Linked DNA regions of Caenorhabditis elegans. The protein of the gene in region 3 interacts with the protein of the main gene of each other region in a pairwise test. Each region holds a gene or a part of one and is shown on either strand. Other genes may lie near its edges.

Region 1 (9,085 bases), on a different chromosome or scaffold from region 3:
ATGGGTAAAAGCTTTTCATAATCAAAAGCTTTTCAAAATTTATGATAGTATTATAACCACTTTTTCTTCTGAGAAATGGTTCAACTTTTTTCGCGTTGATGCCAAAAACAATTGAGTCAGCTAACAATTCATTTTTTGGAACGGTAATATTTGTTCAAATCTTAAAAAATTAGGTTTCAGTTTATATTATTTTTCAGTTGAATTACACATTTTGTAGTCGTTTGTATAATTTCAAAACGTTTTCTGTTATTCATACAGTAAAAGTATGTACACTGTGCATTTTTGTTACATATCTCCACATAATCATTTTTTAATAACGATTGGGCCATGGGTAGGAGAGTTAACTTTAGAGTAGATTTTCAGAAAAAAAAATTCATTTTCATTTGTTAATTTTTTTTCTATTTTCAGACTAGAAAAGACTTACGGTTCGTCATCTGAGCATGATGACAAAATTTCGTCAGTTTGAAGCAGCGACATTACGGACGGCATTCCTTGTGCCGGTTTTTTCTCTGACATGGTTGGTTCCCCTTGTCTCTGAAAAGAAAAATACTTTCGGTTATATTGTTTGAGAATCAAAAATGCTATGCATAGAGACAAAAGGATTGGGAAACGAACAGCAATGTGATGTGATTTTTTTTGTTCTAAATATTCAAAGAAGAAATGTTTCAAAAGAAACAATAATTCTTTTTTTTCATTGTACTAAGCATTCAGTAGTACAAGAAACCGTAAAATTGCTTCTTGTTAAGCGGATAAATTTGTCAATTCAATAAGTTATACCAACAATGTCAACAAAACTTTTCGTTCCGACAATTGTTTTATAACCGTTCAGCGATACAATCTGGGTCGTCGTAACATAACAGGTATCACTTTTTGCGGTTACAAAACGGAGAAACCATAAGATCTAGGAAAAAGCGGTGTAAGTAGTAAATTGAATGAAGCAACTGGAATATGAAAAGTAAAGCTTAATTTTAAAAGATCTAGAGATTGGATTCTAGAGGAAAACACAGCTTTAGAGATATTTTTTCCAACACTTCTTGTGAAATTTTTTTTCAAAGTTGAATTAATTCAAACTCAAATGCATTTTCTACTTTGTGATACATTTAATTTGAAACCGAAATTTTTTTGAAAGGTCATATATCTTCTTAGAATTCTGTAATTTTAAATTTGTTCTACTCAATTTCTTGAACTAAAAAACTGTTTCTGTCAATTTTGCTTACAGTAGATTTATTGACGCAAAAGTAACCACTCTTATTTGACTATTCATTTTTTTTCGAGTACATCAGAAGATATTCTACAGTTATGATGCATAAACGACATAATGCAGGTTTTGTCAGTGACAGTTTTTTTATACGGTTTGATAAAGTTTTGAGAAAAGTATTTGCAACGTTTATGAGTCTTAATTTTTTTTTTTTCAAATTTTCCTATTTTTATTGTGTATTTTTTACATCTCCGAGAGAGCGTAATAAATTAAAAAGTTTTAAAAATATTGTTTCAATAAAAAAAAACAATTTTGATTCTAATCAAAATGCCAAAACATTTGATTGACAATGGAACATACTATAACAATTCTCAATAAAACAGTTTCTTCAATTTGGAACACCTAATATAAATAAAACCATGAACTAAAAACTAAAACTAGAATACTTTGTTTTTAAATAGACAAAAAAGAAAGCGGCTACATGAAATGGTCAAAAGTATCATCTAAAAAGCGGGAAGTGGAATGAAAGAGAAGATAATACTGGAAAAAAAACATTGTGCAAACAATCAAATAGATGTCGAGACCGAGATTTGCACAAACGGGGGAAAAGAGCTCACCGCTCTACCTATCCAATTTTTTATTTATTTTTCAACCTTAGATATTGGTTTTGATTTTGGTTTTTATTCCACTTTTTATCTAATAGTAAGTGTTAACCTTCAATTCTTTCGCTCTATACAGAACCTCATAAATCAGAAGGTGTGATGGTGATGGCATTGAAAATTGTATAAGGAGAAACACAAACGAAATGAAATCTGCGTAAGATCATAGTTGTAGGCTCTACAATTTGATTGACAGGCGGTTTGGATTAATCTACCTTTTCGGAGTGAACGGAACGTTGTACACTGAACGGATATGATGACTAATTGGTAGTGACGGTACAATGATTTGATGACAAATGACCAGAAAATGAAGAAATCCCGAGACATAAAGAAAAAACAAAAAGTGCGAAAGATTGGTGACTTGAAGAGGAATAGAGATGGATGCAAAAGTCAAAAAATCAAACATATTGTATTATATGAACACAACGATGTACAGAGAAAAAAGAAAAAGGGGCAAAAAGGCAGAAGAGCTGGCGGGGTTGTTTTGTGTGAATCATCTGAATAAACAGGGCTTTTTATATGCGTTAGCTGGTACGTATATGCATATTTGTGTGTATTGACAAGGTGGCTGAGGTTGGTGCATCTCCTTTTTGTATACCGTGCAGTGCACGGCAGTATCTTTTTACTCGACTTTTCCCAGTTGGCATCGTTTGAGAAAATTTTCCGCAACTTAGTTTCACTAAGGAAAATTATGTAAAAGTAAAATTCACTTTCACTATTGAGTTGTCGGCTTACACTTCGGTTCTCCTTGGGTTTATCAAAGAAAAAAATTATGTTGAATTTAATATTTCTTAGTTGACTATTTTGACTATTTTATTTTTTTTTGATAAAAACAAAAATTACCCAAGTACTGCCAAGGTGGAGCAAGAGGGTACAAGTGTTTTTTTTTTCAAATTTAAAACACGAATAATCCCTACAATAATCAATTCACTACAAATATAAGTAAAAATTAAAAAGTTCAAGTTCGTTAAACCTACTAAGTATACTAAGTAATTACAATCGAGACATTTGCAGATTTTTAGTTGAACAAATAAATTCTAAACTGTATAAAACTCGTGAATATAGAAAAGTAAAAGTATAACACAAATTCAACATATACACCACAAATACCACATAAGAAGCCAGGTAGTAGCACATTAAAAAACACGACAGAGGTTAGTGGCCAAGACGATTTGGAGGAAGGGCAAACGTCTGTGACCCTCTCTGTTTTCTGCCCCTCTTGACATCTCCAACGGAACAATTGAACAGTTTTAATAAGGTTGCTAGAGTCTGGTGGAATGAATGAGTCGAGATTTGATGAGTTGAGTTAGATGGTTCAGAATTGGTAATTTGAAGAAAATTGGCCAAGTGGAATTGGGAAAAGATGCGAATTAAGAACTGAATACTAAGGTAGGTAACGTAAATTAAACTAAAAATAAGCAAATTTCTAGTCAGTGACTCATAATCAAGACATGGTTATTAGATAAATTTCAGGAAAGAAATAATAATTTTGACACTTTTATAATTAAATTTTTGATTTATTGCTTCACGTACAATTTTGAATAACACATGTGTTGTGAGTAAATTAATTGTGAATTTTTGCTCAAAAGTTGTATAATTTTACAATGTATACATTCTATTCCGTTACCACTATTATTAAAATTATCTTCATTCAATATCATCTGGAACTGTTCGAATGTGGGGTATCCCTAGCATATTAATATGATCAAGACATTTACACTATCCGAAAATAGCCAACAAACATATCAAAAATGTATATAATTTTTAAATCACACACAAAATCAAAACAAAGTAACATTTACTTAGTTTCAATAAATCATTTGGAAGTCAACCAAAAAATACATGTCCTGTCAGTTTTACACATTAAGGAGATTCATATTATTTTTATATATACATTGTTGTGTTCAAATCTCCAGTAATGCCCAAAATAATTGAGAAATTATTTGAAAGCAAGACATTTTTTCAAAAATAATTCTTATTCTCCCGAAAATAATTCTTCCGAAGAACATGAAAACTTAAAATGTGTGTAATTACGATATTTAATCGTGTTTGACAATTATTCATATGTGAATGAAAACAAAATTCCGCTTTCAAGACGTTAAATGTTAAAACTCAGTTTTTAACCTATACGGCAAAAGTATAAAAAATTGATAATGTCTTGTGAAAAGAAAAAACAATCAAGAAAAGGTCTCACCTGTATAAATACACCCTCTTCTACAATTTCGGTGTCGGAGCTGGTATCGGATGAGGAAGACGACGCCTCCTCAACCTGAATATCCGGATTTGCCGCCGTGGTGGTAAGTCGTTTCCGGGCCGTGGCGAACACAATTATACGTAGAGAGAGGACAAACGCCTGAATTCAGAAAGCAAATTAATTGGTGAATTGTTGTAAGAAGGTGTGTGGGAATTGAAATGGAATGGTGAAGGCGTCAAGAATTCAAATTTTCTCTAATGAATGGATAGTGTATCTACTGGACTAGTTTTCCTCTTTCCTCTCAGTTTTCAGATCGCCAAAAGGGCAAAAAGTTATCGGAACGAAGGCCCTTATGTAATGAGACGGTTGAAGGGCCACCCGACAACCACAAGACGCAATTAGTATCCGAAATGCAATGATTATTAGAAAAAAGTGGAAGTGTGGTGGTCATGTCTGCAAGCGAATGTACGAGATCCACAATTGCACGCTTTTGCTGCCACCCATACGCGAAACATTTTGAATTTAATAAATTCTGAGAGCGGAAAGCCCGGTGTAAAAAGAAGAATATGCTTGGAAATAACACGGGAAACTGTGAGAAATTTGACACGATTTAAAGAAAAAGATCCGCATTTTTGATACCCTTTTGTTCTTATTATAATTGAGAGAGGGAAGGGTCTCAGGCTGAACGCTTATTTTAAAGAAAACATATGTCAGATTCAATATCATATAGAGGGATGTGATATAAATATAAAGATGGACTGAAAAAAAATCATCGTGAAACTTCAAAAATTTTTTTAATTATTATCCAATATTTACGAATTTTGACAATTTTCGAGAAAGGCGCGAAATCTGAATGAATATCTCTTCTCGAATGAAAATCTCGTTTTGGCCTAACTTTACCTTTAAGTTAAAAAATTTAATAGGAGTATTTTTAATTTAGTATTAACTTGTATTAAAATTATGGCAAAAATACTCACCAAAATAGCAGAAAATGCTGTCTGTAAGATGGCGTTGAAGCCGTCCGGAGGACGACTTTTCTGTGACCTGTTGTTTGACGATTGTAGATTTTCTATGTCCATACAATTCTGAAAAAAAAACCTTTAAAATTTTCATCATTCCTTTTTGGAAAAGCGGATAGAATTTCAATCAAATTGCCTACATATTGCTGAATGTAGAATAATGGGTTTCAACAATAAAAAATGATTCAATAGGAACATGAATTGTTGAACGGAAACTTAGCAATTTAAAAAGGCTTGGTTAGTTTTTTATACAACAATTTGAAATCATTGTTTTGTTGAATAAAAAATTTGAAGAAGGAGACATGTGCGACCACGAGATGTTCCATGATTCAGACTATGATGTATCAACAACTTTATGCATATGTAGTGAAAAAATACGATGATGGGAGAATAACACACACGAAAATGAGCGAAAAACAAAAGAAGGATGTGCTACGGAAGAAGTAAAGAGCTCTCAGGTTTCTATTATGTGCCAATTTCTTTGTACTGTCAAGAAGAGAAGAGAGTGTGGTGTTTGCTCGTGAGTTCTGGCGAACACGAAGACAAGTTGGTAGCGCATAACAATTGCTTGTGCCGCACTAAACCACTTTTGCAAAATCTTTTATCTTCTTTTATCTCTCTAGTGATTTCAATCATACATACGTGCCAGTTTCACACCACAGATTACTGTGCAATAATGGAGTTACATCAAACTTCAAGCTAGTAAAACATTGGGCTTGGTTAGAAAATCAAAATTATTCGTATTTCTTTGTTAAATACAATAAATACTCTTCATATAGAAGTTACATTCTTTTAATAAAATGACAAAGTTAATTACAAAACAAGTTTTGTGATCTACAGAGGTGCGCGGGAATTGGAAAAAAAAAGTATCTCAAATTCTAAAATTTTTGAATTATCTCAAGCAAACGGATGACAAAAAAACTCTACTAAAATACACATGACATTTCAAGCTTAAATTTGTTAGGTTACAAGATTGCCAACAAAATCCGGCAATTCCTGTAATTTTTATTTCCAATGTTTTCAAAATTACCAAATGTCGCGCACCCCTGAAATTGAAATAGTTCCAATTTTGAGTTTAAAAATATTTAAAAAAAAATATTTTAAAAACATCATCTGAAGTTTTCAGTGTTACCAATTCATAACGTGAATAGTTTTTGGCACAGAAACAATTCGAATTTGTTTGAATTTAGATATTATATTATTTTATTAATGATAAAAATATAGTATTCAGAGGTGCAAAAAAACTAATAAAATGTAAAACTAAATTCACAGGAGATGTCGACCAGCAACATGTAATACAACATGATATGTATACAAAACAACAACAAGCAGTAGCAGATTAATAGTTGCATACTTTAGTAACGGTTAATGATGATGTTTTGTGAAAAGATGAGGATAAAAGCTTAGGTTTTTTTTTAAACTCCAGACTTGATTGATGAATTCTAGGTGATTTTGAACAAATTCTGAAAACATATGCTACTCTCCAAATGCAATTGTTGAATTAATCTAGGCAAAATGATGATGGAGAAATTTATAGTGCATTTATTTATTATGAATATAAATATCGAGAGGAATGGAATGAAAGATAGTCGGGAGTGAGAATGAGCGAGAACTCGTAAAATTGTAACGAACTACAGATGCGAAAAGTGATAAGAAATAAAGATGGAAATACAACAGATTATGATAATGTTTGTGCATGATGTTATGTGTTATAATTCGGTTTAAGAATGAAAGTGGTCAGGAATCTAGAGGAACGTTGAAATTTCGAACTACTTTTTTTAAATGAATCTCACTAAACAAAAAATTAAGATTACACGAATATTGAAAACTGTTTAACTTTGCAAACACAATAGAATTTTTTTCAAAACGGATTGCCTCACACTATGATATGACGGATTTTCCGGTCACCGGCACCTGTCAAAGATGATTAATCAATTTGTTTATTGACATTTCTCTCCTCGTTCACCGATAGTCTGATTATAGGGAAAAGGACGAAAAAGGCGATGATAGGATGACGGGCGAAAAGCTTTAGATATAAATATTTATTTGTTAAATGGATTAGATCACTTCCGAATGATGATTTCATTCAGGACGTTTGAAATAATATTGTCTAATATTGGTGGCTAAATTAAGGCAAAATATTAAATAAGTCAATATTACCGAGATTGGAGAATGATTGCACTACATATTAAATTTTCCAAAAGATATCTATTACTACTAATAATAATTTACATCAAACCTCGTAAATTTTTATCGAAAAAAAAATTTAATAGAGAATTTTTTTGAAAGTGGCATTTTTGTAACAGGTACATTTTGAAATAAATATTTTCATAAGGGGTAGACGGCAATTGCCGAAAAAACCGATTGCCACAATTTTTAAAACTCAACATCTGCCGAAACATCCGAAATGCCCAACATTTTAGAATGCCGTCCATCCCGGATTGTGACTCAAAAAAAATCTGTTAAATAGTTGTACTTATTAATTATTCAGCAGTGCTAAAATGAGTTAGTTAAAAATATTTTGATTTTACAATAAAACATAACAACCTCAAAATCAAGTTAAAAAATTTTCATTATTAATGCTAGTGATATGTACCTTTATAATAAGCAAAAAAATCTGCGACAAAAAACCATCCTAATAACAGAAGCTTGCAAACATTTACTATGATTGATTATAGTTATTATGATAAAAAAGTGGAACCGAACGTTGCAAAAGTGACAATGTCTTGTGTGAAAGAATTGAATTCCAATTCTCAAGTCCAACAAAAGAAAATCGGAAAACAGTTGTGAAAACGATGGCGGAATGCCCGATTACTACTCATAACAGTTTGAAAAGTCGCGAATTGGATGAATAGTCACAATGGCCATTGCCAGAACGGACTGTAGAAGTTTAGTAGAAAATGGAAATGAGGTCTATTTTCATCTCATTTTCCAAGAAAGTAACCCTTTTGGAAAGAAAATAAAGAAGGCAGATATGACCCGTAAGACGGAGATTTACGATAAACGAGAGAGGGTCGAATAGAAATTAGTGCAAACCAGAAACATCGGGATAAGGTTTGGCGGTTAGCAAACAAAATGCATGGATAGATTTCAAAGAGATATTTAAAACTTTTCAGTCGACGTATTCTAGGATTTCAAAATCTCCGGAAAATTACCGATGGTTTTTAGACTCAAGTAATATATTTTCAGATACCCTCTATTAGTCTTGCATGCAAGACTAATTTTCAAACGACCCGTAGGGGAGCAAGACTAATAGAGACTGCAATACTATTAGAGGCTGCAAGACTAATTTTCGTAGATCCAAAAGCTTTGTAAAGCTTACAATTTCTTGTCAAAAATTTGACTTGAAACATTAAATGACACAAAATACATACTTGTTCATTATTTTATCAATTACTTGAACACTTCTACGTTCAATTCAGCCAAAAAAAAAGACGGACTTTTCGACGTTTCCACAAAACATTGTTGATCTAGCAAACATAAGAGTGCAAGACTATTAGAAACTGCAAGAAGAGGCTGCTAAACTAATAGAGAAAATACGGTATACTTTAAAAACGTTTTAGAAACTCATAAACAGGTGACACTTCGACAGAAGAGTTAAAAAATTGCCTCCGCCCATATCTAGGATTTATAACTTTCAGAAAATTTTTTGTTTTTACAAATAAAGCATGAGTTCAACAAGTTAATTTTCTAATAATGTTATTTAATATTTTTTGATTATTTACAACTCAATCAAGCCAATATCATACTTTAAACAAATTTTTGTAAAGCTTTCAACCTTGAAATAAAAAAAAATAAAACGGATAAACAACTATCAAAATTGTCAAGTTTGTCCAGTTTTTTAACAAAAAGTTTTTTAAAACTATGTCAAGAGGTCCTACACTTGGAAGTGCAAAAACCTCAAAGAATTTTTATGTCTATTGAATAACTAGCTATTTCTATGTATTTTCAAAATAAGAAAACATACTTACCTGAAACTGGAGTTTCAGAATTTGTGCATTGTCCGTTCGATAAA
Region 2 (11,416 bases), on a different chromosome or scaffold from region 3:
CTCCATTGTTTCTTTTGCTGATTAAATTATCAGTTCGATCAATGAGCTTTGAATTGATTAGGCTTTTTTAAAGTTTTTCTATAATCTTAAATTTATAACCTAAAAGGTTATGAGTCTCAGACATTTTATTTATATGTTTCCTAGCCAAGTCTAAACATGTAGCAACTTTGCAAAAAATGTTTTCTCAATTTTTAGATGTTGTTTTTGGATATTAAATTCGGAACCAACAAAATTTTGTTTCAAGATAAAAAGAAAACGAATCACATCCTAATGTGAATCTTGGATTAAGTAATAATAACTGTTTTTGAATTTCATAGGCCTCCAATGTTTTTCTTAATCATTTTTTTGTAAACGAATCAACAAAAGTTAAGATTCTGCGCATGTTTCTTTAATATTCAAATATTCTAATTGCTGGTTTTTTCCTAAAACTAAACTTGTATGTAATTCATTTGAAAAATCATACAGGCATTGGAATTGAATAGTAACAAAAATTGGAAAACGACTGTGAATATATTAGAAAATTGTTAAATTAGTGTTTTTGAAAAAACTTTCGGCGGGTTTAAAGTATCACATAATTGCATTATAAATTCTTACAAAATCGCGTATCTTTATAACATACTCAATGACCTAATATGCTCTATGAAAACCTGAATTTAAAAAAAGCTATAAAAAGAAAGTTCATTGTATTTTACTTATAATCAATTTTTCACTGTTTATGCTTTTAGTGCAGCCACCACCAATGGGATCTCCACCCGCCTACACTAGCGCCGATGAAGGTCCCAAGACGCCGCCACCTAGGGCTTCAGCTGGATCGAGTCAGTCTCGTGCAACACTTCTTGACATTCAAAATAAAATTGCAGATATGAGGCAAGAATCTATGAACGAATTGATAATGAGAAAAATATCTGACCCCCTTCAAAATTTGATTCGCAGAGCAAGCCGCCTGGAGGACGACAGCAGCAACGACGATGATGATGATGACGACGATGAGGATGACGGTAAGGCTACACACGGAAAACATTCCACAACATATATATTTCGCATAAAGTCTACAGAGACCTCTGATAATTAATTAATATCCACAAAAACATAGACATAGGTCATACTCTGGAACAAATTATTTTCATTTTACTTGTTTTTCAAGAAATTTATCCGAAAAATAACTTTTTTTATCGTATTCTTTAGTTTAAACTAACATACATTTTATTTTCTGATAGTGAGTAGTTTTCAAAACATTTCAAGAAGATACTTTTGAGTGTACACGACTTTCTCAATTTAACAAGTGAAGCATAATAAGATAACATTTAAAAAAGAACATATTTTGTATATATTTCGCGACGCATTGTATCATGTTTGTGGAAACTTTTTAATCTCAAAAAAAGCAATCAAACAACATTTGAATCCGTTTCTTCGGGAAAATACTTATAGATTTATCATTTTTGACCAATAATTGTATTCTATCTGAAGTCTGCTTTCAGACTACACCGAAGACGAAATTGCGATTCTGACTTATATCGACGCGTATAAAACACAAGAAGTAGAGTTGCGCCCGCAATTACGCCCATTCACTATCGAATACATCCCAGCAATGGGCGATGTCGACCTATTCATCAAAGTGCCAAGGCCAGACGAGGTATGTCCGGAATTCATAGCTCACGCAAACATGTTTATATAACCAAGAATTTTAGATTGACGATAATGTGGGGCTCACGCAGATTGACGAGCCACCCAGCAACCAGAGCGACGCCACAATTGTCGATATGCAGATTCGAAATGCTACTAAAGATGCGGCAATTCTCGATGACGATGTTCCAGTGAAGCTTTTAGAAAGAGCTGATGAGAATCCAGATGAAATAAAGAAATGGATTTCTGATATTAAAGTTTGTTTTAAAAGTGTCAAGACATCTTTTAAAAAATGTTAATTTCTAGGAATTTCATAAAAGCAAGCCTGCCCAAACAGTTCACTACAGAACTCAACTGCCAGATGTAGAAACATTGATGCAAGAATGGCCACAAAAACTTGAAGAAGTTTTGAAAACGACAAAGGTTTGTCTCAATGCTTTGTTGTAACGTAAAACGTTGAATCCGACAGATACCATCGGCCGAACTGGATGTTTCATTGGAAAAGTATGTGGAAATTTGTCTTAATATCGTCGACATTCCTGTGGGGAAAAGTCGCATTGAAGCTCTCCATTTGATGTTTTCGCTGCTCAATGAATTTAATAACTCACAGCATTTTCGCAATCTCGCACAAAACAACAATCTCGGAGGAGAAACCGGAGAAACAATGGACAGATTGGAACTTTAACATCAAAATTTATTGACATTTCCATAACTTTTTGATAAGCAGACGTTTCTGACATTCTCTTAATCACACATTTTATAACTTTTCCCTCTGCAGACACACTTTCTGAACAACCTATTTGTGTCATATAAATAATTTCTTAAATTATTGGCAAAATGCTTTCTCCTTTTGAACTTCATTAATTGATTCACCTTCTATTTTACTTTAATTTATTTGACCGAATAAACATTTTTATTTCTTTTTTAACAATCAAAAAGTTTTATTTTTCATTGCACATTAATTGGAGAGAATTATCCTTGGTGAGTTTTTACTGTTATCTTTACACCAATTTTTGTCTTACTCATATGAAGAAACATTTTCAAATTAATTTTGTTTTTAACAAGGAAATATCACCACAATTTTTGTGTTTATTCATTGCACGAAAATCTAATTATTCGGTTTGTAGTGAAATTGTAGTTTGGGACTTATACATTTTAACCAGTATTCTCTTATTTTTGAATTTTTGGAAACTTGAAATTGTATTTTGTATTTCGTACCCCACACTAAAAAAAACTATTCAACTTTCCACTACTACTCCTGAATTTCTGGTTTCCAGGGACAGCTCTCACGGTCCCATTTCCAAGACAAAGCATCATGTTGCTTAGCAATTGTGAGTAACAAACAGAACGTGGAACACAAGCCGGTGGTAAGTCTTCTCAGCAGGTACTATAGATGTCATTTGAAGAAGGAAAGGGTGAGCAAGGCGTTCTATTGTCGTAACAAGACCATTCAGACTCTCGTAGCATTTATCGATTCGTCACTGTGTTTATTCATTTCGTCTATCTTTCCTCCTCTTTTCATTGCACAGTGTCCCCACCTGACGGCGGGAAATACGCACTACATAAACTCGTCCCGATTTGAAGTGAACTTTTTTAATTCGCATTTTTGTAGTTTTCTAGGTTATTTTTCTTTTAATTTGAAAAGTAAATTTTACAATAAATTTGACTTGATAAGTCGTTTTTTGCATAGACATTCAAAATCATATGTCCATGTTTCTTAAACTTCTTCACTTTTTTCTCGTACAAATCGCTTAGATGGGCTATTTCTCTCTTATTATATGAGCACAACGTTCTCTCGCTTGCAATGTCAGAAATAGATTGCAGTCTTATCCCTCTACAAACTGTGCATGCACATTCTCTGCGTCTTTTCATTCCTATCAGTGACTAGACTCTTTTTCTTCCAGAAAAAAAACATTAGATGACAACAAACTGTTCAGTTTTTGCAGATAGAGTTCGGCTTTTGGAAGTTAAGTTTTCTGGCATTTATGAAAAAAAGATTGCTCATTAGGACCGTCAAATTTATGTAACGTTAACATAGAAAATATCAACAATGAGAAAAGCAAGCAAAACATGTTTGAAAGCCTTATTGTTTTAAAATAGATAGGTAGCGGAATTTATTTAAGAAAATACTTTTATTGAGTCAAAAGTATTTGTTTCTTTAACCAATAAATTTTATGTTCCCATTTTTTTTGAACTTCAATGTTTCCAAGTTTAGCAGTTTGATATAATATTCAAAACTAACGAAAATTTGATCAAAAATTTGAACAAAACGAACAAAAAAACAAAAAAACAAAAATCTACAAATCCGCTTTTTAACTTGAAACCCCTAAAAATATGTAATTTAAAATACACAAAGTAGCCTACAGTTAAACTCTGTATGTTATCAAATTCTGAAAAACACAACGAAATTCAGTATTCTGTTTTCTCCTTTTCAACAGCCCATTTCTCATTCCATTTGACAGCTCTATTTTCCTCATCCGTCACAGGACTGCGCGATACTAAAAAAAAAGACACATGTTTCTTTTTTTCTTGGTATTGTTACCCAGTAGTCTGAATAGTAACATTTCTTGATTCTTATGTGATGCTTTTGGTGGCAGCACCCATTTTTCTTCTTTACTCCATCCTCTATTTCTAAATTTATGTCACTAATTTTATCCCATTCATTCTCACGCCTTGTTCGCTCTTCATTTTTTCCATGTTTCTTTTCCTTCTCTTCTATTGCTGTAGTCTCTCCTCGCCCTCCTCTTTTTGTCGTTCAGTCGCGTGTCAGCTGAATTCACAAAGAGAAACGCGCCAGCAGTCTTCTTTTAACGCAGTTTTCGTTTTCCGTTCTTTTTATTGTAATATTGCAAGTGTTTCCTGCTGTCGCCGCCCAGCAGTTTTCAGTCCGTTTGTTCCCAGTTGGGTGGCTGAAGCTAACCTTCAATTCAATTTAACAATTGTCTTCGATCTCTAGATCTCTTCTCTGCCGTTGGTTCCATCTCCCAATTGGCTTTAATTTTTCACATATGACCTATGGAAGATACAGGTGAGATTGTTGTGAAATGTTCAATCCATTTTTAGAATATATTTTCAGAGCTGACGTGGCCACCCTGTACGACGTCTTCTGCGAACTTGATGCCCCGAAACCTGGCGAAAAGCTTGCTATTTTAAGACTCCAGTATCCCGACGATTTCCACGATCCAGCTATTGTGAAAAGTGTTCAACAGTTTGCATTTCCATGTCAACTACGAGAGTACGTAATTGTTAAAAAAAAACTAAATTGGTATGGAATTAAAATGTTTTTATAATATTTCAGAGTAGAAGTCGACGCAGTGCAATTATTCAGTTTTGTTCTAACCGATTCGAACTCCAAATTCTCGTTTGGATTTTGCCGTTATACACCAAGAACCGACACGTGCATCTGCTTCTTGAGGTGAGAGTGATTTTCCATCATTACTTTTGACAAATAGCCGTCGTTTGGTTTTGTCATGGGAAAATGAGTCCTGAAGAGCAGAGGAGAAGTATCATATTTCGTTTTCTTTTCTATTCCTTTTAAATAAACTCTTGCAAAAACGTTAACGAAAAAAAGAACAAAACAGAGTTCGTTTTTTCTTGTGACTTTTAACTGTTGTTGTTGTTGTGTGATGCGAAAAAATGAAAAGAATGTTAAACGCGTAGGATAGGATGACGAATATGATTGCAATATTTTAAAAAAGAAAACGATTTGTGATGGTGAACATTATTATCACAAGAACTTAAAAAAAAATACAAAACCGTTTGCTTGGAACTAAAATATGCTTTAAAAAAAGGCGGTAGAAAAGAGTAGAGAAGTAGTCAGAAAAATGTCTCTTTAAAAATATGAATATTTTACAGTGGATTCTTCTGGCCAAATGTCTTCTTCAAAGCTCTTAACGATATTTCTTTGGTGATAGGTTCAGCGCAAAGGGAAGATGTTGAATCAGTGCTCACCAAATTCTATCACACAGATATTCCAAATATTGACGAATATTTACGATTTGCTGATAGTAATCAAACAGATGGAGTAAGAACCTTAGTTTATATCTAAATGTGCAATATTTTCTCAGCACAACTATCGAGTAGTGTTTGCTGAAAAAATTCCCGATCACACGCGATTACCAACTCTTGGCTCGGATAAGTTTTTCCTCGAGTTCTACAACGCCATCGACCCTCGGCAGATGTTAGCAATCTTTGCAAGTCTACTGAAAGAACGTCGTATTCTGTTTACTGGGCGGAAAGTTGGATCGTTGAGTTCATGTCTCCATGCGGTCTCGATGCTTCTCTACCCAATGTGTTGGTGAGTAATATAAAATTTCTAACAAAAATGTTTACATAAATATTGGTAGCAAGAGGCATTGCAATCGCAGTTCTGTGATAGCAGTTCTGAGATAACTAAGAAACTAAAACAAAGTACGTAATACCACGTAATAAGAAATCGTGGTTAAGAAATAAAAATCAAAAGCAATGTAAAAGGGTATACAGTATAAGATAACTTGTTATATTATTTAGTGATGCATATACATAGAATTCAAGTTTCTCTTAAACAATCTTGAAAGTACTTGGTGAAAAATTTGAATTCAACATTAACATCACGAAACATTTGGTCTTGCGACTGTATTTAATCATAGTTTTAGGAACAAAAATTCTGAACTCAATGATGAGGACGCTTATTGAAAAGCTATTAAATTTTCTAAAATGTACTTCAATGTATATTTCAGGCAATCAGTTTTTATCACAATTCTTCCCGAGTCTCTCGTCGACATGGTAATGGCACCAATGCCATACTTGATAGGCGTTCCAAAAACTGTTTTGGAAAATGCGGTTTGTGAATTCGAATAGATGTCCCAATATTGTATTTTATTTAAGAGGCTGAATATAAGAGACATCGGCGAAGTGGTGATTGTTGATATTGACGAGAAGACGTTAACAAGCCCATTCGATGATGTAGCAGCAATGCCTCAAGAAGTTGTAAACTTTTTGAAAGCACAACTTCGGTCGCAGTCAGCAATGGATGACACTTTTGCAAAGCACTTCTTACGAGCTATGGTTATGCTGTTTGGTGACTACACAAGTGGATTTACTGGTGATACGCCTGAAACTCTGGTTTTTTCCAAAGAGCGGTTTGTGGTGCAACAAAAACCATCCTACCAAGCATACGTATCATCACTATTAGGTGCGGATGGTGTGCAGTACCTAGAAAGAGTGAGTTTCCGCACAAGCATATTGATAAGTCGCAATAATTAAATATTTTAGTTCATCCACGACCGATTAGAATTGTACAAAGACGGACACGTGCCAGGAGACCAGTTCGAAATTGAAATCGAACAGATGGATCTGAAAAACCGGCCGGTAAGTGATGAAGCAAATGTTATCATAGCTTGTATAACGCAATGACGTTAACTCGTCGAGTGTGCGGACATATTCCAACATTCAGCTAAATCATCATGAGCCAATGGTGCATACTACGGTGCAATCAGTAAGATTCGTGTTGTCAAACAGTATCTCAGCAACTTGATTTTCAGTTTAACCAAGTGCATGACTTTTGAAAAATTTTCTAACTTGTTCGGCATCTAATTTTTAATGCAATTGAAAAGATTTTCCAGGTCAAGGAGAATGCCAATGACGTCATCGGAGCATTGAAAACTTCTGGAATACAAGTATTTTTCAACCCATTTTAAGTTATTTGAAACATTCAAATTTCTAGATTGCAAATCGTCTCCAGAAACTAACGCCTCGGGAAATACGAAAAGCAGCGGCAAGAAAAAAAGCACACAATCAAAATGGATTTGAGCAGTCGCCAATGTCTTTTGATAACCTACAATGGGATGCAACGGTTTGTTAGAAAATAACAGAATGTATTAATATTTTTGAATAGTTCCAGAAAAGTGACGAAAACGAGGGCTTCCCGGTGGAAACAAGGATGGACAATGTTCCAGTAGCCAACCTCATTGATTTGGATGAACCTTCTACAAGTTCTGCGTCTGGGCTTACATCAGTGGATGAACAGTACTTTCTTCGTCCCTCCGAACTTGCAACTAACAACCGCAAGTGAGTATTTGATCAAATAATCAACCCAGAAAAAGTATAACGCTGTGGCTCTTTGTAGAACTTTTTCGCTCTATTTTTCTGGCAACCAACAATTATCTGTTCGTTGTGCGCCTGCCTGAGTTTAATCCACTTTTAATCTATAAGCTTCTGGCTGTTTCTGTCTAGGTAGAAGTATTTTGGAAACGCTCGGAAATCTCATAATTGCTTATATGTAGAATAAAAAGTAATGTCGCCTTATAAACAAAAATCATACTTTGTTCAAATATAACGAGGATCAAAAAAATTGCAGTGTGTCCAATGAGAAGTCTAATGCATTTGATAACTTCTGATGATTTGGTTTTCTAACACCGTTTCAAAAATAGTTTCATAACTAAAAAGAATTAAAAAAAATTTCATTTCAAGCTGGTGCTTGAAATGCTGGTGCTTGTACATGCTGGTACATTTTGTATAGTAATCTTGATCAAGATATAAAACATGTATGTATTGCCAAAACCTGGTAATTTGAAAACCAAATCTGTTACTATGTTATTCGCAAATCAGTTAATTATTTTACAAATGTTCAGGTCGCCATCTGGAGCAATAGGAAACGTATTTGCCGACCCATTTGCGACGTCACCAGAAGGCTCGGCGCCTCCATTGCCCTCTCGACCCCCACCACCTCTACATCCTCGCATGATTCCTGGCTCATCGGTCCAGTCAATCTCTCCAAGTGGATCATCAGCACCTCACCTACTCCATTTTCAACAAAGCCATCAGTGGGCACAAGTCAGCCAAGTAGGAAGCGTACCATCAGCGATGAACCCATCTGCACCCGATTGGTATGCTCCTCCGCCGCTACCTCCCCGACGACCTGCATCAGTTGGCCCATCGAGCACATCGTCAGGGCAACCAGCAACTGCTTTTGCCACTAGTTCAGCAATACGAGTCCCCCCTCCTCCGGTTCGGAGCAAATGGGAAACTTTCGAGTAGAATACAATCATGTGATAACAAAATGAAAAACAAATTATTTATGTGTATGAAATTTGAGTTTCTATGGCTAGAGTCGTATGGTTACTTTCATAAATTTAACCCATTTCTTTCCCCCTTCCCACTAGTCAAATTATTTTGTTTTTCCATATTCTCATATTTTTTAATCGTTTGTTCCTTGTACTCCTGCGAGACTGAAGTCACAACGATAATTCAGTCATTTTATTCATTTTGTTTAAGTATATATTTTTCAAAAATCCAAAGGAACTTGTCAAATCAAATTGTCATCGAATGCCGGCATTCTAACTTTTTCTTGTCAAAAGTATATATTTATTTATTTTTCTGGTTTGGAATAAACAATAATGTTGGGTGACTTTTCATTCAGTTTATGTTATTATTTCAATTTATTTCAATTTACTCACTTATTTTAGCATCTATCGAAAGTACTTAAAAACTACAATATACTGGACAGCTTCCATTTAATTTTTTTTGTTTTAATTTTTGAATGGAGTAGCGTCAATACGGTAAATATTTGAAATAGATCTTTTGTGACAAAAATAATTCAGTTGAAAGGATAAAATCGTTTTTTTTAGATTTCAAAAAAGTTATCCCAACTGGCGCTATAAAACTTTTGAGACTTTGGAAAATATCCCATAATTTTAAATGGAAAAAATATTATGCTTTGACAATTTTCACAGTATTTACAATATATTGGAAAAGTGAACCAAACGTATCTACGACTACCCTGCATCATAACACTATTTCTCCTGCATATTAACAGATGGCCGTCCTCGTCTCCTCCGCTCTTCCCCTTCCTGGGGCCCCTGCCGTCTGCTGCCTTTTGCGACCGTCTAGCTTCTCTCACTCAATGATTTCTATATTATTTCTCTTTTTCCTACGATCTCTAAATCTCTTTTTCTAATCTCACCGCACGCACAAGCAGAAACGGACCGAACATGCCGTCCGCACAGGCACTTGCCAACGTGAAAGAACACGGCTGAGAAGGTGCGGTTTTTTCCATTGAATATTCAATTTTTCCTGCTATTTGTCAAGACTTTTCTTGATACACAGCACCCAAATAGTTTAGAAATAGGAGTAGTTTGATTTTTTCTCTTAGTTTGACCATCAGAATGCATTTTCTTGTTTTTGGCTTTGGACAGTAGACAATATCAACTTGTTTCACTGCATTTTAATTGATATTTTATTATGGCCCAACATTTTTTTTAAAGATTGAAACATTAATCAATTTCAGATGAGTTTCCAACCTGGTGATATTGTGATCAAAGGTTCGTGGCCATGCAAGTTGGTGAATATGGAGAGAGGAAGGAATCCCGTCTCATGGAGAGTAGAATATTTTACCTGGAAAGCGAAAGGCCGAACGAGTATTGTTCCACAGGGTGTGAGTAATAAATCCAAATAATATCAAAGGTTCTAAACTTTATTTCAGGCGATTTTCGCTTTGCATCGAGACTATCGATTCAAAAAGTCTACGGAGCAACACACCAAAGCTATTAAAGAGGCTAAGGAAACATTAGGAGGCAAACTATGGGTTTGTGTGCATTCTAATAGAATTTAGAAAATGTTCATATGTTTCCAGGGATCTCAATGTGGCAGAGCACCATCGTACAAAAAGCTCGAGTTTAACGGAGTCGAAAACACCCCTGATCAAATACAAAAAATTGTCTCTCGCGACTTAAAATTGGAATTGGACGATAGTGAAGATATTCGAAAAAGTGGAACAAATGGAAATCATCACAGAGGTGAACCGAAAGAGGAACTAGAAAAGGAAGAGCAAGAAAAAGAAGAGAGAATGAAGGAAGATGAAGAAAAGAATGGAGATGGAGAATATGAAGATGACGAGGATCAAAAGATGGCTGATGAGAAGAACCGAAACTATAAGGCTCCCATGGTTAGTGTTTAGTTTAGTTTTATGTCTAATAAAATCATTGAAATTTGGAAACTTCGCCCTGGCTTCATGACTCAATTAGTCATTTTATTATATTTATCAGAACGGGTACTGTCCAACCAAATTTAATCGAAAATGTAAAATGCTTTCAAACGAAACATTTTATAAAAAGTACTATTCTTAAAGATATAATTTATTCACTTGATTATGAGTTTCAAGTTACAAGTTGCATCAATGTAAAATATTCGTTAGGACAATTTCTATCTCTGTTTCCATCTTTTTTTTCAGAATCGCAAAAGATTTCTCACCGAGGATAAAGACGACGCTCTGTTCAGCCCACCACCTCCTAAACAGAAGACTACGCCGAATTCCACAATCTGGGGCACATTTGTGACAAAAATTGTAAGTAATCGAATTTTTTAAAGTTTATCAAAAAAATTATCTATTTCAGAGTGGCTTTCTCGGCGGAAAATAAGCACCCTTTGTTTTTCATTTCGTTGCCCCTATCTAATTTAATGTATCAAACCTGAAAATGCCATTGAATCAATTCAACTATGTTTTCTATTTCTCCTTTTTTTAAATCATTTTTTTTAAAACTTCACAAATATATACATATATATATACTGTATTCATAATTTTTTTTCTCAAAAATTAAGTACTTCACCGGAGCAAGAAATTCAAAATTCTCTAAATGTTTCCCAACATCTGGGTATTTTCGATTTCGTTCAACTCGAGCTTTTTGTACGATAGTGTTCTGTCACTTTGAGCACCCTGGAAAAATATGAACATTTTCTAAATTCTATTAAAATAGCTACGATCCAAATTTTTTCTCTAAATTTTTCTTTGTCCTCTTCAATGGCTTGGCGTGTTGCA
Region 3 (12,351 bases):
TTTAACCCGAATTTTAATATTAACAGCAGAGCGAAATTTTAGGCCTTAAAATTTTTCGTGATGAATGACATAATTTCGGTCTCTTTCAGTATGCTGGTGAACATCAGGAAAATGTGTGTAGAAGGTAGAGGCTTCTGGTTTAAGAAACTAAGAAACTGCAATTCATAATTCTGTTGAATCTGGTCTTCTCTCTAGGTTCAGCTTTCAAAAAACAATAGCGTTCGATTCAAACAGGTTGTAGAAATTAGGAATTATTTTGTGCTGGTTCTTTTTAGAAATAATGGAAACGGGCAAACCTTTTTGGCGGTAATTTTTAGTTGGAAAAGCCGAAACCTGAAGAATTAGAGACATTATCCAGTAATTCGCGTGATTTTAAAATTGAAAATTCACAGTTTTGCATTTTTGAACAAGTTGAAATTTCACATACTGTTTTTGAGGAACGTTTTTAATTTATAATATGCAAGATATCCTAATTTAATTAAACAAATCACGATGTGTCATTAAAAATCACAAAACAGATGTATCAACGATCAGCATCTACCTCATTTGTAAAAAAAGGAAATCGGTGGCACCTGTTTGACTCGTTACAGGTGAGCAAATAGTTAGGAATTAGCTAATAGGCGTATCTTTTCTCAAAAATTTGTATAAAAGAGAGGGCTGTGGGGGTTTTAGATACTATCAAAAGTCAATCATCATGTTCTCTCTTAAGACCATCGCCATCTACTTCCTCGTCATTTTGTCTGTTTTTGTTGTTCATACTTCAGCTACATGTGCTGATGATGAAGGTTAGTTACGAGCATTATTTACTTCTTCTGAAGCCTTTGTATTTTCAGATGGTCACTGCGCCGTCTTCGCTGAACTTTGCGACAATGCTGACTTCGCCGACTACACATCCAAATGTGCCAAGACATGCGGAAAGTGCTAAAGCCTAATCGAAACTGCTCTCCTTTTGTAATTATTGGTAGCTCCCTTTGACGGTTGAAGCACCATTCTTTTCCCCACTTCTCGTTTTTAGTCACCGTCATTCTGCTAGTTTAATTTAACTTTCAAGAAATTAATTCTTCATTTAGGACTGGTCATCCTAAATTTGAATTTTTATAGTTTCTGAAAGCTACTTCTCATTTTCATTGTCGTCGTCATCTTTATCTGTGTGTCTGTCTTGTCGCCTCAATTTGTCAAATAACAATTTCATCTCAAATTGTTTTATTTACTTTGGAAAGCCTAAAAAATCAATGCAGAGAAAGAGCATAATCAAATTTATCAGAACCTGGGAATTTCTTCTGTGCTCGTCGTTTTATTTCAGAGTAGAAACACTGTTTCATTCCCTCAAATACTTCATAGCAAGGCAGATATGATGCATCAATTGGGGTGAATCGATTCGGTCGTTGATCACAGAATGAAAGACATTTTCTTCCGGCTACAGTAGTTGTGATTCCAGATGTCTCACAGCATTCTCGATGATCGAGTCCTTGCGCAGCACAATAATGTATTTCGTTGATGGCTTCGATGGGGCATTTGTGAACTTTATTGAACATTGCCTCTATCTAGAAAAGCAATTGATTGAAATCAGGGAAAAAGGTACGTGTTTAGTATACCTGGCTCAAAAATATTCACCATTTTGAAACTTTTACTTGAACCTTTTTAGTCTTAAAAAAATAAATAAAAAATCAAAAGCCTAAAAATGCAAAACATTCAAAATTTCGATTAAAATATCATTTTTAAAAGAAATGAATGGATAGCATATTGGAAAATATTTTTGGGTCAGGTATGCTTAATACAAAATTTCCAAAAAAAATGATTGAGAGCTGTTTATTTGTAAATCTATAATATAAAAGTTCCACAGAAAACAGCCGTGTGCGGCATATTTCAAAATTTGCCGAGCTCGGCAAATTCGGCAAATCCACTTTTTGAAAATTGCCGAGTTCGGCAAACGGCAAATTTGGCAAATTTACCGCACACCTCTTACAGAAACTCCAATTTTTAGATAGCAAATTGTATACTTGATATTATTTCATGCGGTGAAACCTTTTAGACTATTAACAAAATTCCAGAATACTGTAACTTCCCGATAAACTTAAATTGTTTGACCTACCGTTGTGAATGTATAAGTATTAAAATGACACAGCTGCAGACAGGAATCTGGAAGACCTCGAGCTTCACAGCACGATCGGAAAATAAAATTGGGATTTGTTAATCTGTCAACACTTAAATGTTGGGATGTCTTCTCCGGTCGTAACGCGACACTTGCTTCTGCCAACTCAGCCTGTTCATGTGTCTCATCGTTTACCAAGACTCCGTCAATTCGTTTAGTTAGTGAGCCAAACGCTTTTCTTCGAGCACAACCGTATTGTCCGCAGGCATATCCTTGTTGGCATTGATTTCCTCCACAAGATACCTGTGGAAAATTAGAGTCAGAAAATGAATTCGAATGAATTTTTTAACAGTCACAAATGCTTTGATAGTCAAATCACTTCGATAGCAGTGACAAATTTTCTTTCTACAAATGACTTATGAAAGTTATACGGGCATTAAAATTCAATTTCAAGTTAACTATGTTTTTACTTACCGGTGGAGGAGTCCGCCGTTTACAGCAACCACCTGATTGACTGCAACAATGCATTAGACCTATGCAAAACGATAAAATAAGGAGTAGAAGCTGCATGGTAGAGCTATCAAAAATTAGCAAAACTTCTTCAGAACTTGGGTTTTTATATCAATTATTAAGTTGACGCAACTGGTATTTTGAGTACCTATACCTAGCCGCAATTACATATTGTTAATTGGTAGTCACTCAAGAGAACTCAAGAGGATTTGAGAATATTCGAGAGGTAACTGGAATAAGTGGTCATCTACTTGGGCTTTGGCTAATTATAATTATAGTCAAGTGTAATTATCAATGAATATAAAATCTGAGAGTTTCAAGTAACATTTCCATAGTTTCATATCTCCTCTACCATCATGATCCGAATCTTCTTTGTTCTTCTCGCTACTCTCCTCATTCTCACCGATGCATGTGGATCTAGTGGTGCATGTGGTTGCTGTGGTTGCCGAGCAAAAGCAAAGGCGAGAGCTGCAAAACGAGTTAGTGGAGATTTGGTTCAAGAGTTTGATGGAAAGGATGATGGAAATATTTTTGGACTCAAAGTCTGGAATGATACGAAAACTCCAATCACTGAAAAGAGCATTCAGTTGTTGACAGTAAGTTTGTTTCTGTACATTTGGTAGATCATGGGGATTTTACTGTAAAAAAGTCAAACTTTTAAATATATTTCATATCAATTTTCAGAATCCTAACCACTTGTTCCATGTATGCTGTGAGGAACGACAGTTGCCTCCCGCATGTGTTCAGAAATGCCATTTTAATGTTTATAACAAAGGAGTGGTAGGTTTAAATAGGTCAAGTTTATATTGTGAAATTGAATTTCAAAAATTGTATAGCTGGAATCAATGTTCTTTGGTTCAAGTGAATGCCCGATTGAATTCCTGCCAGAAATGCAATTTTGTGCGGCTCAAGGAAAAGATCATAGCCAGGTAAAAGGTCGTTGAAATCTGCTCAATAACTTCTTACTAGTTTCAGTGTTGCTCACAAAGTCAGGTGGATGCAACGACGGCTGGAAGTAAATGTCTAACCTTCTGCGATCAAACACCCGATCTCTACACTCCAATTGATTACAGCTATGCGCCTTGCCTAGACAGGTTTCCATATCTTTTTATCTTCCAATTCTCGAGGCAAAAGTCATGTTGAATTAAATTGGTTGCAGGTTCGAGGACATGAAACGATGCTTCTATGATAATGTGAAGTCGGATGCAATCACACATTTCGAGGCGAAAAAGAGTTTGCAGGATAAGAGTACATCTTATTAATTGTTTTTGATTTTATATTTACTTAACTTGAGATTTCGAAATAAAATGTGCGATTTCGCAATACCCATCACGACATACTTTGTATTTCATTTTCCATTAAAGCGGAACTATTACACATTTGCGAATTTCTGTGGCAATTGCATAAAAAAACCGGTACCGGGTCTCGACACGAAAGATTCTCTTAAATGCAAAAAGTGTGATCTTCGGTCCGTGGAGTACTGTAACTTCCAGCAGGGCTAATACAAGAGAATTTGAACAGAAAACAATACATAACATTTTTATTCAAAAATGCCAAAAAATTATAATACAATTCAATTTTGAAAACAGTTTTTCGTTGTATTTTGGACCAAAAAAATCGGTTTTTTTTTGCGCAACGTTGTTGGATTCTCAACGTGTTTTATCTCAGTTTTTCCTTGAATTTCGGTAAAACAGAACAAAAAATGAAATGTTCAAAAAAAGTGTTCCAAACTACAGTACTCCTTAAAGGCGCGCACACTTTTAAATCAAAGAAAATTGGTCGTGTCGAGACCCCGTACTGTATTTTTTGTGTAAAACTCGAAAAATTTCCGTGTATGAGTGATCTACTGATTGAAATTGAGAAAACAAAGTTTATCCGCAGATCAAATTTGTTTTTTTTTTCTTTTCAATATTTCACGGCAATCATTTCTTAATCCAAACACGTAATTCACTGTCGTAATTGCTGATGACTCATTCATTTCATACGAACGCTTTTCTTTTGTCAATCCTTCGGCCGTACAAACATAAATTTTTCCTTGTGAAATTAAAAACTCCGCCCAAAGCGAAGAAAATTCCCAGAAGAAATTCGGCGGAAAAGCGCGCTCTACCGAGAAGCGGGGCGCGTCGCGTCGCGTGCCCTGTGATGACAGGGCGACTTGTTCAAGCTTGGCAAACAGGAATCATTTCTCTCGATCAACTGGCTTCTGCATGTTTGACAAAGCTCTCTCTTGATAAGACATTTCCGTTCAATTGTTTTATTTTTACGTTTTCCCTCTTTTTAGGTGCGCTATGAGTCCTCAAAAATTTTTCTTTACTCAGCAAAGAGTTCTAACTTTTGGAATTACAATTTTTCCTTCATTTCAAATCATTCACAGTAATAACAGCGGCCAAAGCTAGCTTTAAAGCTGTATATTTTTCCATTTATTCCTTCAATCTACCGATATTCACTTCTATTTCCCGGAAATGTCTCACTTTTGTGATAAATTTTACGTGACTCATCTTTTTATTTTTATCGTGTTCTCTTTTCTTTTTTTTTCAAACATCTCCATTTGCAGGTATATAATTTATTGTAAGAAGTTTTTCCATTCTACACACAGTTTTCAAAGATGGCGCTCCCAATCAAATTTCACGAGCACCTGCAGCTTCCGAATGCTGGAATTCGGGTGCCCAACATTACATTCTCCAATGTCACAATGGAATCTGATAAGAACATTGTTGTTCGTGAGATGGTAGGTCAAATAATCGCAATTAACTGTTCTAAACGGATAATTTCCAGATTGGTGATCAACAACAGGTTGTGATTATTGATTTGGCCGACACAGCGAATCCAACTCGTCGTCCAATTTCTGCTGACTCAGTAATCATGCACCCAACTGCCAAAATTCTTGCTTTGAAATGTTAGTTTTCAGTACCATTTGACTCTGAAGCTTATTTATACCTTTTTTCAGCTGGCAAGACACTTCAAATTTTCAATATTGAGTTGAAAGCAAAAGTGAAAGCTCATCAGAATGTAGAAGATGTAGTTTATTGGAAGTGGATCAGTGAGAAAACGATTGCACTCGTTTCCGACACAGCCGTCTATCATTGGTCGATCGAGGGTGATGCAGCTCCAGTCAAGATGTTCGATAGACATCAGTCGTTGGCCGGAACTCAAATCATAAATTATCGCGCTGATGCCGAAAACAAGTGGCTCGTTCTTATTGGAATTTCCGCAAAAGACTCCCGTGTCGTTGGAAGTATGCAATTGTACAGTACCGAGAGAAAAGTATCGCAGCCAATCGAAGGCCATGCCGCTTGCTTCGTTCGATTCAAGGTAGGACTAATTCGATGATGGATTTGTCATATTAATAATGTTTTAGGTCGATGGAAACCAAAACCCATCTAACTTATTCTGTTTTTCCGTCAAAACCGATAATGGAGGAAAATTGCACGTTATTGAAGTAGGAACCCCAGCTGCTGGAAACACTCCTTTCCAAAAGAAGAATGTTGATGTTCCATATACCGCTGACACAGCTGGCGATTTTCCAGTGTCTATGCAGGTATGTTGCTTATAGTCGTATAAACAAAATTTGATATCTTTCTGATTGATTGTTTATAATTTCAAAAGCTGAATGGTGTTGTTTATAAAATAAATTGTTGGTTTTCAGGTATCTGCGAAGCAAGGAATTATTTACCTGGTAACAAAGCAAGGATATGTTCATCTTTATGATGTCGAGTCTGGAACACGGATTTATTCGAATCGAATTTCGACTGATACCGTATTTGTGACCTGTGAATACACAGCTACAGGAGGAATAATGGGAATTAACAGAAAGGGACAAGTTCTTTCCGTCTCTATCGATGAAGCTAACTTGGTTCCGTTCGTTACGAACCAGCTGCAAAATCCAGATTTGGCTTTGAAGTTGGCCGTGCGTTGTGATCTGCCTGGAGCTGAAGAGTTGTTCGTTCGCAAATTCAACTTGTTGTTCAGCAACGGACAGTTTGGAGAATCAGCCAAGGTTGCTGCATCGGCTCCACAAGGAATTTTGAGAACACCAGCCACCATTCAAAAGTTCCAGCAGTGCCCGTCTACTGGTCCAGGACCATCTCCACTTCTTCAATATTTCGGAATTCTTCTCGATCAAGGAAAGTTGAATAAATACGAAACACTCGAGCTGTGTCGTCCGGTCTTGGCACAAGGAAGAAAGGAGTTGATAACGAAGTGGCTCAATGATCAGAAGTTGGAGTGTTGTGAAGAATTGGGAGATCTCATTAAGCCGCACGATGTGAATACTGCTCTTTCAGTCTATTTGCGTGGAAATGTCCCGCACAAGGTTGTTCAATCTTTTGCTGAAACTGGACAATTCGACAAGATCGTAATGTATGCCAAGCGTGTCGGATTCCAACCAGACTATTTGTTCCAACTTCGTCAAATTCTCCGTAATTCGAATCCTGATCATGGAGCAAAATTCGCTCAACTTCTTGTCTCTGAGAGCGAAAACGGAGAACCACTTGCTGATCTTTCACAGGTAACGAATGAGAATAAGGATTTGGCTAATTTAAACCTTTTCAGATCATTGACTGTTTCATGGAGGTTCAAGCTGTTCAACCATGCACTTCATTCCTTCTCGAAGTTTTGAAGGGTGATAAGCCGGAGGAAGGACATCTGCAAACGAGACTTCTTGAAATGAATCTGCTCGCTGCCCCAGCTGTTGCCGATGCTATTCTAGCCAACAAGATGTTCTCTCACTACGATCGTGCCGCTATCGGACAACTCTGCGAAAAGGCTGGACTTCTTCAAAGAGCTCTCGAACACTTCACTGACCTCTACGACATTAAGCGAACTGTTGTTCACACCCATCTTCTCAAGCCTGATGTGAGTTTCTAATTAGATTTCTAAAATAAATGCTAATTTATTTTCAGTGGCTCGTTGGATATTTCGGAAGCCTTTCTGTTGAAGATTCGGTCGAATGCTTGAAAGCCATGCTCACTCAGAATATCCGACAGAACCTCCAAGTCGTTGTGCAGATTGCATCCAAGTATCATGAACAGCTCGGAGCTGACAAGCTGATTGAGATGTTCGAAAATCACAAGTCATACGAAGGTCTTTTCTACTTCCTTGGTTCGATTGTCAACTTCAGCCAGGACCCAGAAGTTCACTTCAAGTACATTCAAGCTGCCACGCGCACAGGGCAAATTAAAGAGGTTGAGCGTATCTGTAGAGAGTCGCAATGTTATGATGCCGAACGTGTCAAGAATTTCCTTAAGGAAGCCAAGCTCAACGATCAACTTCCTTTGATCATTGTCTGCGATCGTCATAACATGGTTCATGATCTTGTTCTTTACCTGTACAGAAACCAGCTCCAGAAGTACATTGAAGTCTTTGTTCAAAAGGTTAATGCCGCCCGTCTTCCGATCGTTGTTGGTGCTCTTCTAGATGTTGATTGTAGTGAAGATGCTATCAAACAATTGATCATTAACACTCGTGGAAAGTTTGACATTGATGAGCTTGTCGAGGAAGTTGAGAAACGCAATCGTTTGAAGCTTTTGAATCACTGGCTTGAATCGAAAATCCAGGAGGGAGCGACTGATGCTGCTACCCACAATGCGATGGCCAAGATTTACATAGATTCTAACAACAATCCCGAACGATTCTTGAAGGAAAATCCCTACTACGATAGCAAAGTTGTTGGAAAGTACTGCGAAAAGCGTGATCCTCACTACGCCTTCTTGTCATACGAACGCGGACAGTGCGACGCTGAATTGATCAACGTGTGCAACGAGAATTCACTATTCAAGAATCTTGCAAGATATTTGGTGAAGAGAAGAGACTTCACTCTGTGGGAGCAAGTTCTCAACGAAGAGAATGTTCATCGTAGACAGCTGATAGATCAAGTGGTTCAAACTGCTCTTTCCGAAACTCAAGATCCCGAAGACATCTCTGTGACTGTTAAGGCATTCATGGCTGCCGATTTGCCGAACGAACTTATTGAACTTTTGGAAAAGATTGTTCTCGATAACTCTGCATTCTCGGAGCACCGTAATCTTCAAAATCTGCTCATTTTGACTGCAATGAGAGTAAGTTAATTATTTTAGAAAACATATTCGATCAATCCACTTTCAGGCCGATAGAACTCGTGTGATGGAGTACATTCAAAAGCTTGACAACTATGATGCTCCAGATATTGCTAACATTGCTATAACTTCTGAACTCTACGAAGAAGCGTTTGCCATTTTCAAGAAATTCGATGTGAACTCAAGTGCCATCAATGTTCTTATCGAGAACGTGAACAATTTGGATCGTGCTTACGAATTTGCTGAAAAGTGCAACCAGTCAGATGTCTGGGCATCTTTAGCCAAGGCACAGCTCCAACAAAATTTGGTGAAGGAGGCTGTCGATTCGTTTATCAAGGCCGATGATCCAGGAGCGTACATGGAGGTTGTGAACAAATGTTCTCAAACGGAGCACTGGGAAGATCTTGTTCGTTACCTTCAAATGGCTCGCAAGAAGAGTCGTGAGTCATACATCGAAACGGAACTCGTTTTTGCTCTGGCCAAGACTGGTCGTCTCACTGAACTTGAAGAGTTTATCGCTGGACCAAATCACGCTCAAATCGGACAAATTGGAGATCGTTGCTTTGACAATGGAATGTTCGATTCCGCTAAGATCCTTTTCAACAATGTTTCCAACTTCGCCAAACTTTCCGTTACTCTTGTTCGTCTTGGAGAATATCAAGGAGCTGTCGATGCTGCACGCAAAGCCAACAGCACGAAGACATGGAAACAAGTGTGCTTCTCTTGTGTCGAGAATGGAGAGTTCCGGCTTGCCCAGATGTGTGGACTTCACATCGTTGTCCACGCTGATGAGCTTGAGGAATTGATCAACTTCTACCAAGATCGTGGACATTTCGAAGAGCTCATTGCTCTTCTCGAAGCTGCATTGGGTCTTGAACGGGCTCACATGGGAATGTTCACCGAACTCGCGATTTTGTACTCGAAGTATAAGCCAGAGAAGATGCGTGAGCATTTGGAATTGTTCTGGAGCCGTGTTAATATTCCAAAAGTTCTTCGTGCTGCCGAGCAGGCTCATCTTTGGTCCGAGTTGGTGTTCTTGTACGATAAATACGAAGAATATGATAACGCCGCACTGACAATGATGCAGCATCCAACTGAATCTTGGAGAGAGCAACATTTCAAGGAAGTCATCGCTAAAGTCGCTAATGTTGAGCTATACTACAAAGCAATGCAGTTCTACCTGGATTATAAGCCACTTCTCCTGAATGACCTTCTTACTGTGCTATCGCCTCGGTTGGATCATTCGCGCACAGTTTTGTTCTTCAATAAGCGTAAGTTTAAATTTCGTTTAGTTTTTAAACTTTTAATAACAATAATTTTCAGTGAAGCAAATCCCACTGGTCAAGCCTTACTTGAGACAAGTTCAAAACTTGAACAACAAGGCTATCAACGAGGCTTTGAATCAGTTGCTCATTGATGAGGAGGATCACGCCGGGCTTCGTTCTTCTATTGAGGCTCAAGACAACTTTGACAATATCACTTTGGCCCAACAACTTGAGAAGCACCCACTTGTGGAATTCAGAAGAATTTCCGCATACTTGTTCAAGGGAAACAACAGATGGAAGCAATCGATCGAGCTTTGCAAAAAAGACAAGCTGTACAAGGATGCCATGGAATACGCTGCAGAATCGAGAAACGGAGAACTCGCCGAAGAGCTCTTGTCATTCTTCCTGGATGAGAAACTTTATGATTGTTTTGCCGCCTCCCTTTACCATTGTTATGATCTCCTTCACCCCGATGTCATCATGGAGCTCGCTTGGAAGCATAAGATTATGGATTACGCCATGCCTTACATGATCCAAGTTATGAGAGATTATCAGACGAGACTTGAGAAGTTGGAGCGTTCTGAGCATGAGAGGAAAGAGGAGAAGGCTGAGCAGCAACAAAACAATGGAATGACCAGTGAGTTTTAACAAATATTTAGAATTTAAATTTATTTGATATTTTCAGTGGAACCACAACTTATGCTTACCTATGGTGCCCCTGCCCCACAAATGACTTATCCAGGAACAACTGGTGGCTATGGCGGACAGCCTGCTTACGGTCAACCTGGACAACCAGGATATAATGCCCCTGGATTTATGTAATTCGATAGTTTTATCCCCATTTTCTTACCCCCACCCCCTCACTTTCTCCCCGCATCAATAATTATATTGTAATTTATTGCTTGATGTCTATACACTTTTTTTGTTTAAATTATGATATTCTATTTCTATTTATTCCGTCCCCTATGAAATTGTGATGGTTGTATTCTAATCCGTGAACTTATCCTTAAGGTTGTTGGTCCGATGTGTCGTCTCTCTCAGTTCTGCCCGTTTTCAAAAAAAAGTTGATCACAACTCTTTTAAACCACCAGAACCATCATGAATAAATTAATTCGTTGTTACCAATCGCGTTCGAGTTTCGGATGAAATACTGGTTCAGTCCATCATCATAACATTTTAGTTTTACGATTTTAACTTTTTGTATTATTCACTAGCTGAATTTTTTAAATTGAGATCTAGAATAAGCCATTTTCAGGCCGTATAATGTCTACTAAGCCCGCCGCCGCGAAGACGAAGCCATCGTGTAGTGAAGGTGGTGATCTACGTGTTGAGACTGAAAATGGTTCGTAGATTAAAAAATTCCACCGCGAAGTTTTGTATAAATTTAATTATTTTGAAGGTGAAACATTCATCACAGCAACACAAAGAGCCGACGGAACTTGGAGAAAAGCGAGACGAGTGAAAGGAGGGTCAGTAATCTGGCGATACTGGGAATATAATACCGCTTGTCGATTTACGAAGAATTTTGTACTAGACGTGACAGAAATTTCGATTTTTCGGCTGTTTTTGCTGATTTTTAGGCGAAATTTTGAAAGAAATATCGTAGTTTTTCCGGGGAATTTCATAATTTTCTCACAAAAAGTTGTATATTTTACCGTTGTGTTGTTCGTTAAATTATTCCTAATTTAATTATTTTGAATTAAAAAGATTGTACAATTGAAGCCAAATCTGTAAAACAATGCGAAATTGCCACTTGTCCACGTGTAGTACAAGATTTCTCGTAAATCGACATGCATAAATCCGCGTCGCAACTTTCAAGATCTTTTCTCCGCTTTTTTAGTTGTATTTCATAGAAATCTTAACAAAGATCAAAAAAAATTAATTTTCGGGGAAAAAAGGACACTGTAAAAAAATTAATTTTTCTCGCGGCGAGACCCAAAATCTGTGCGCCTTTAAGTACGCCTTTCAAGTACATAAAAATACAAATTTCAGATATATTCCTCAAGATGAACAACCAAAATATCAAAATAAAATGCAGCTGGAAGCGACAAACGGCCGAAGTTCTGTTCCAGCAGGAGTGAATCCACGTGCAATGGCTTCTGGTTCATCCCGTAAGCCTGTCAGTGGTGAGTCTTAAATATAATAAATTATACATATTTGTATAATATTTTCTCCATTTTTTCAGCCATCAAAGCTAACGTATGCATCACACCACAGGATCATTTCCAAAAGAAAATCGATTTGACGAAAAAGAAGATTGAGGATATTGAAGGAATGGAATCGAGAATCGCTAGCGGGGAGCTTGTTCCTCAACCGAATCAAGTGAAGAAGATCGCACGAAAGCAGGAGTATTTGGATGAAATTGAAAAGTTGACGCTAGAAATGAAGAAGTTGTGAAGGAGATTGCAACGATTAAATATAGATTCTACCT

What was found.
Region 1: the proteins of chc-1 (region 3) and ajm-1 interact in a two-hybrid assay, tested with the Caenorhabditis elegans proteins (one study listed by BioGRID).
Region 2: the proteins of chc-1 (region 3) and rme-4 interact in a two-hybrid assay, tested with the Caenorhabditis elegans proteins (one study listed by BioGRID).

What each region holds. Positions count from the first base shown.
Region 1 is NC_003284.9:9,079,028-9,088,112, reverse strand, and holds the start of ajm-1 (Apical junction molecule ajm-1), read right to left. Parts: upstream 5,131-9,085; coding exon 5,029-5,130; intron 4,211-5,028; coding exon 4,052-4,210; intron 2,845-4,051; exon of another isoform or gene 2,642-2,844; intron 2,426-2,641; exon of another isoform or gene 2,284-2,425; intron 2,081-2,283; exon of another isoform or gene 1,890-2,080; intron 1,828-1,889; exon of another isoform or gene 1,680-1,827; intron 535-1,679; coding exon 425-534; intron 1-424.
Region 2 is NC_003284.9:10,370,826-10,382,241, reverse strand, and holds rme-4 (UDENN domain-containing protein), read left to right. Parts: upstream 1-4,472; 5' UTR 4,473-4,631; coding exon 4,632-4,651; intron 4,652-4,699; coding exon 4,700-4,858; intron 4,859-4,921; coding exon 4,922-5,038; intron 5,039-5,478; coding exon 5,479-5,647; intron 5,648-5,690; coding exon 5,691-5,920; intron 5,921-6,341; coding exon 6,342-6,444; intron 6,445-6,489; coding exon 6,490-6,825; intron 6,826-6,876; coding exon 6,877-6,972; intron 6,973-7,226; coding exon 7,227-7,280; intron 7,281-7,327; coding exon 7,328-7,456; intron 7,457-7,498; coding exon 7,499-7,671; intron 7,672-8,234; coding exon 8,235-8,640; 3' UTR 8,641-9,010; downstream 9,011-11,416. Other genes in the region: dyf-6 (Intraflagellar transport protein 46 homolog), read left to right, coding at 726-815, 861-998, 1,479-1,633, 1,689-1,880, 1,930-2,046, 2,093-2,308; Y49A10A.2 (uncharacterized protein), read left to right, coding at 9,890-10,036, 10,085-10,186, 10,235-10,546, 10,832-10,945, 10,995-11,018.
Region 3 is NC_003281.10:10,198,665-10,211,015, forward strand, and holds chc-1 (putative clathrin heavy chain 1), read left to right. Parts: upstream 1-5,156; 5' UTR 5,157-5,207; coding exon 5,208-5,330; intron 5,331-5,377; coding exon 5,378-5,498; intron 5,499-5,549; coding exon 5,550-5,914; intron 5,915-5,960; coding exon 5,961-6,140; intron 6,141-6,248; coding exon 6,249-7,109; intron 7,110-7,153; coding exon 7,154-7,456; intron 7,457-7,503; coding exon 7,504-8,658; intron 8,659-8,704; coding exon 8,705-9,926; intron 9,927-9,978; coding exon 9,979-10,557; intron 10,558-10,605; coding exon 10,606-10,742; 3' UTR 10,743-11,040; downstream 11,041-12,351. Other genes in the region: T20G5.8 (ShKT domain-containing protein), read left to right, coding at 695-785, 834-925; dbd-11 (DB domain-containing protein), read right to left, coding at 1,230-1,544, 2,093-2,395, 2,567-2,662; dbd-12 (DB domain-containing protein), read left to right, coding at 2,959-3,198, 3,287-3,382, 3,439-3,531, 3,578-3,696, 3,762-3,864; T20G5.9 (Partner of Y14 and mago), read left to right, coding at 11,184-11,262, 11,320-11,389, 11,913-12,046, 12,106-12,317. UniProt on the Caenorhabditis elegans protein: Clathrin is the major protein of the polyhedral coat of coated pits and vesicles. May play a role in yolk protein clatherin-mediated endocytosis by oocytes during oogenesis.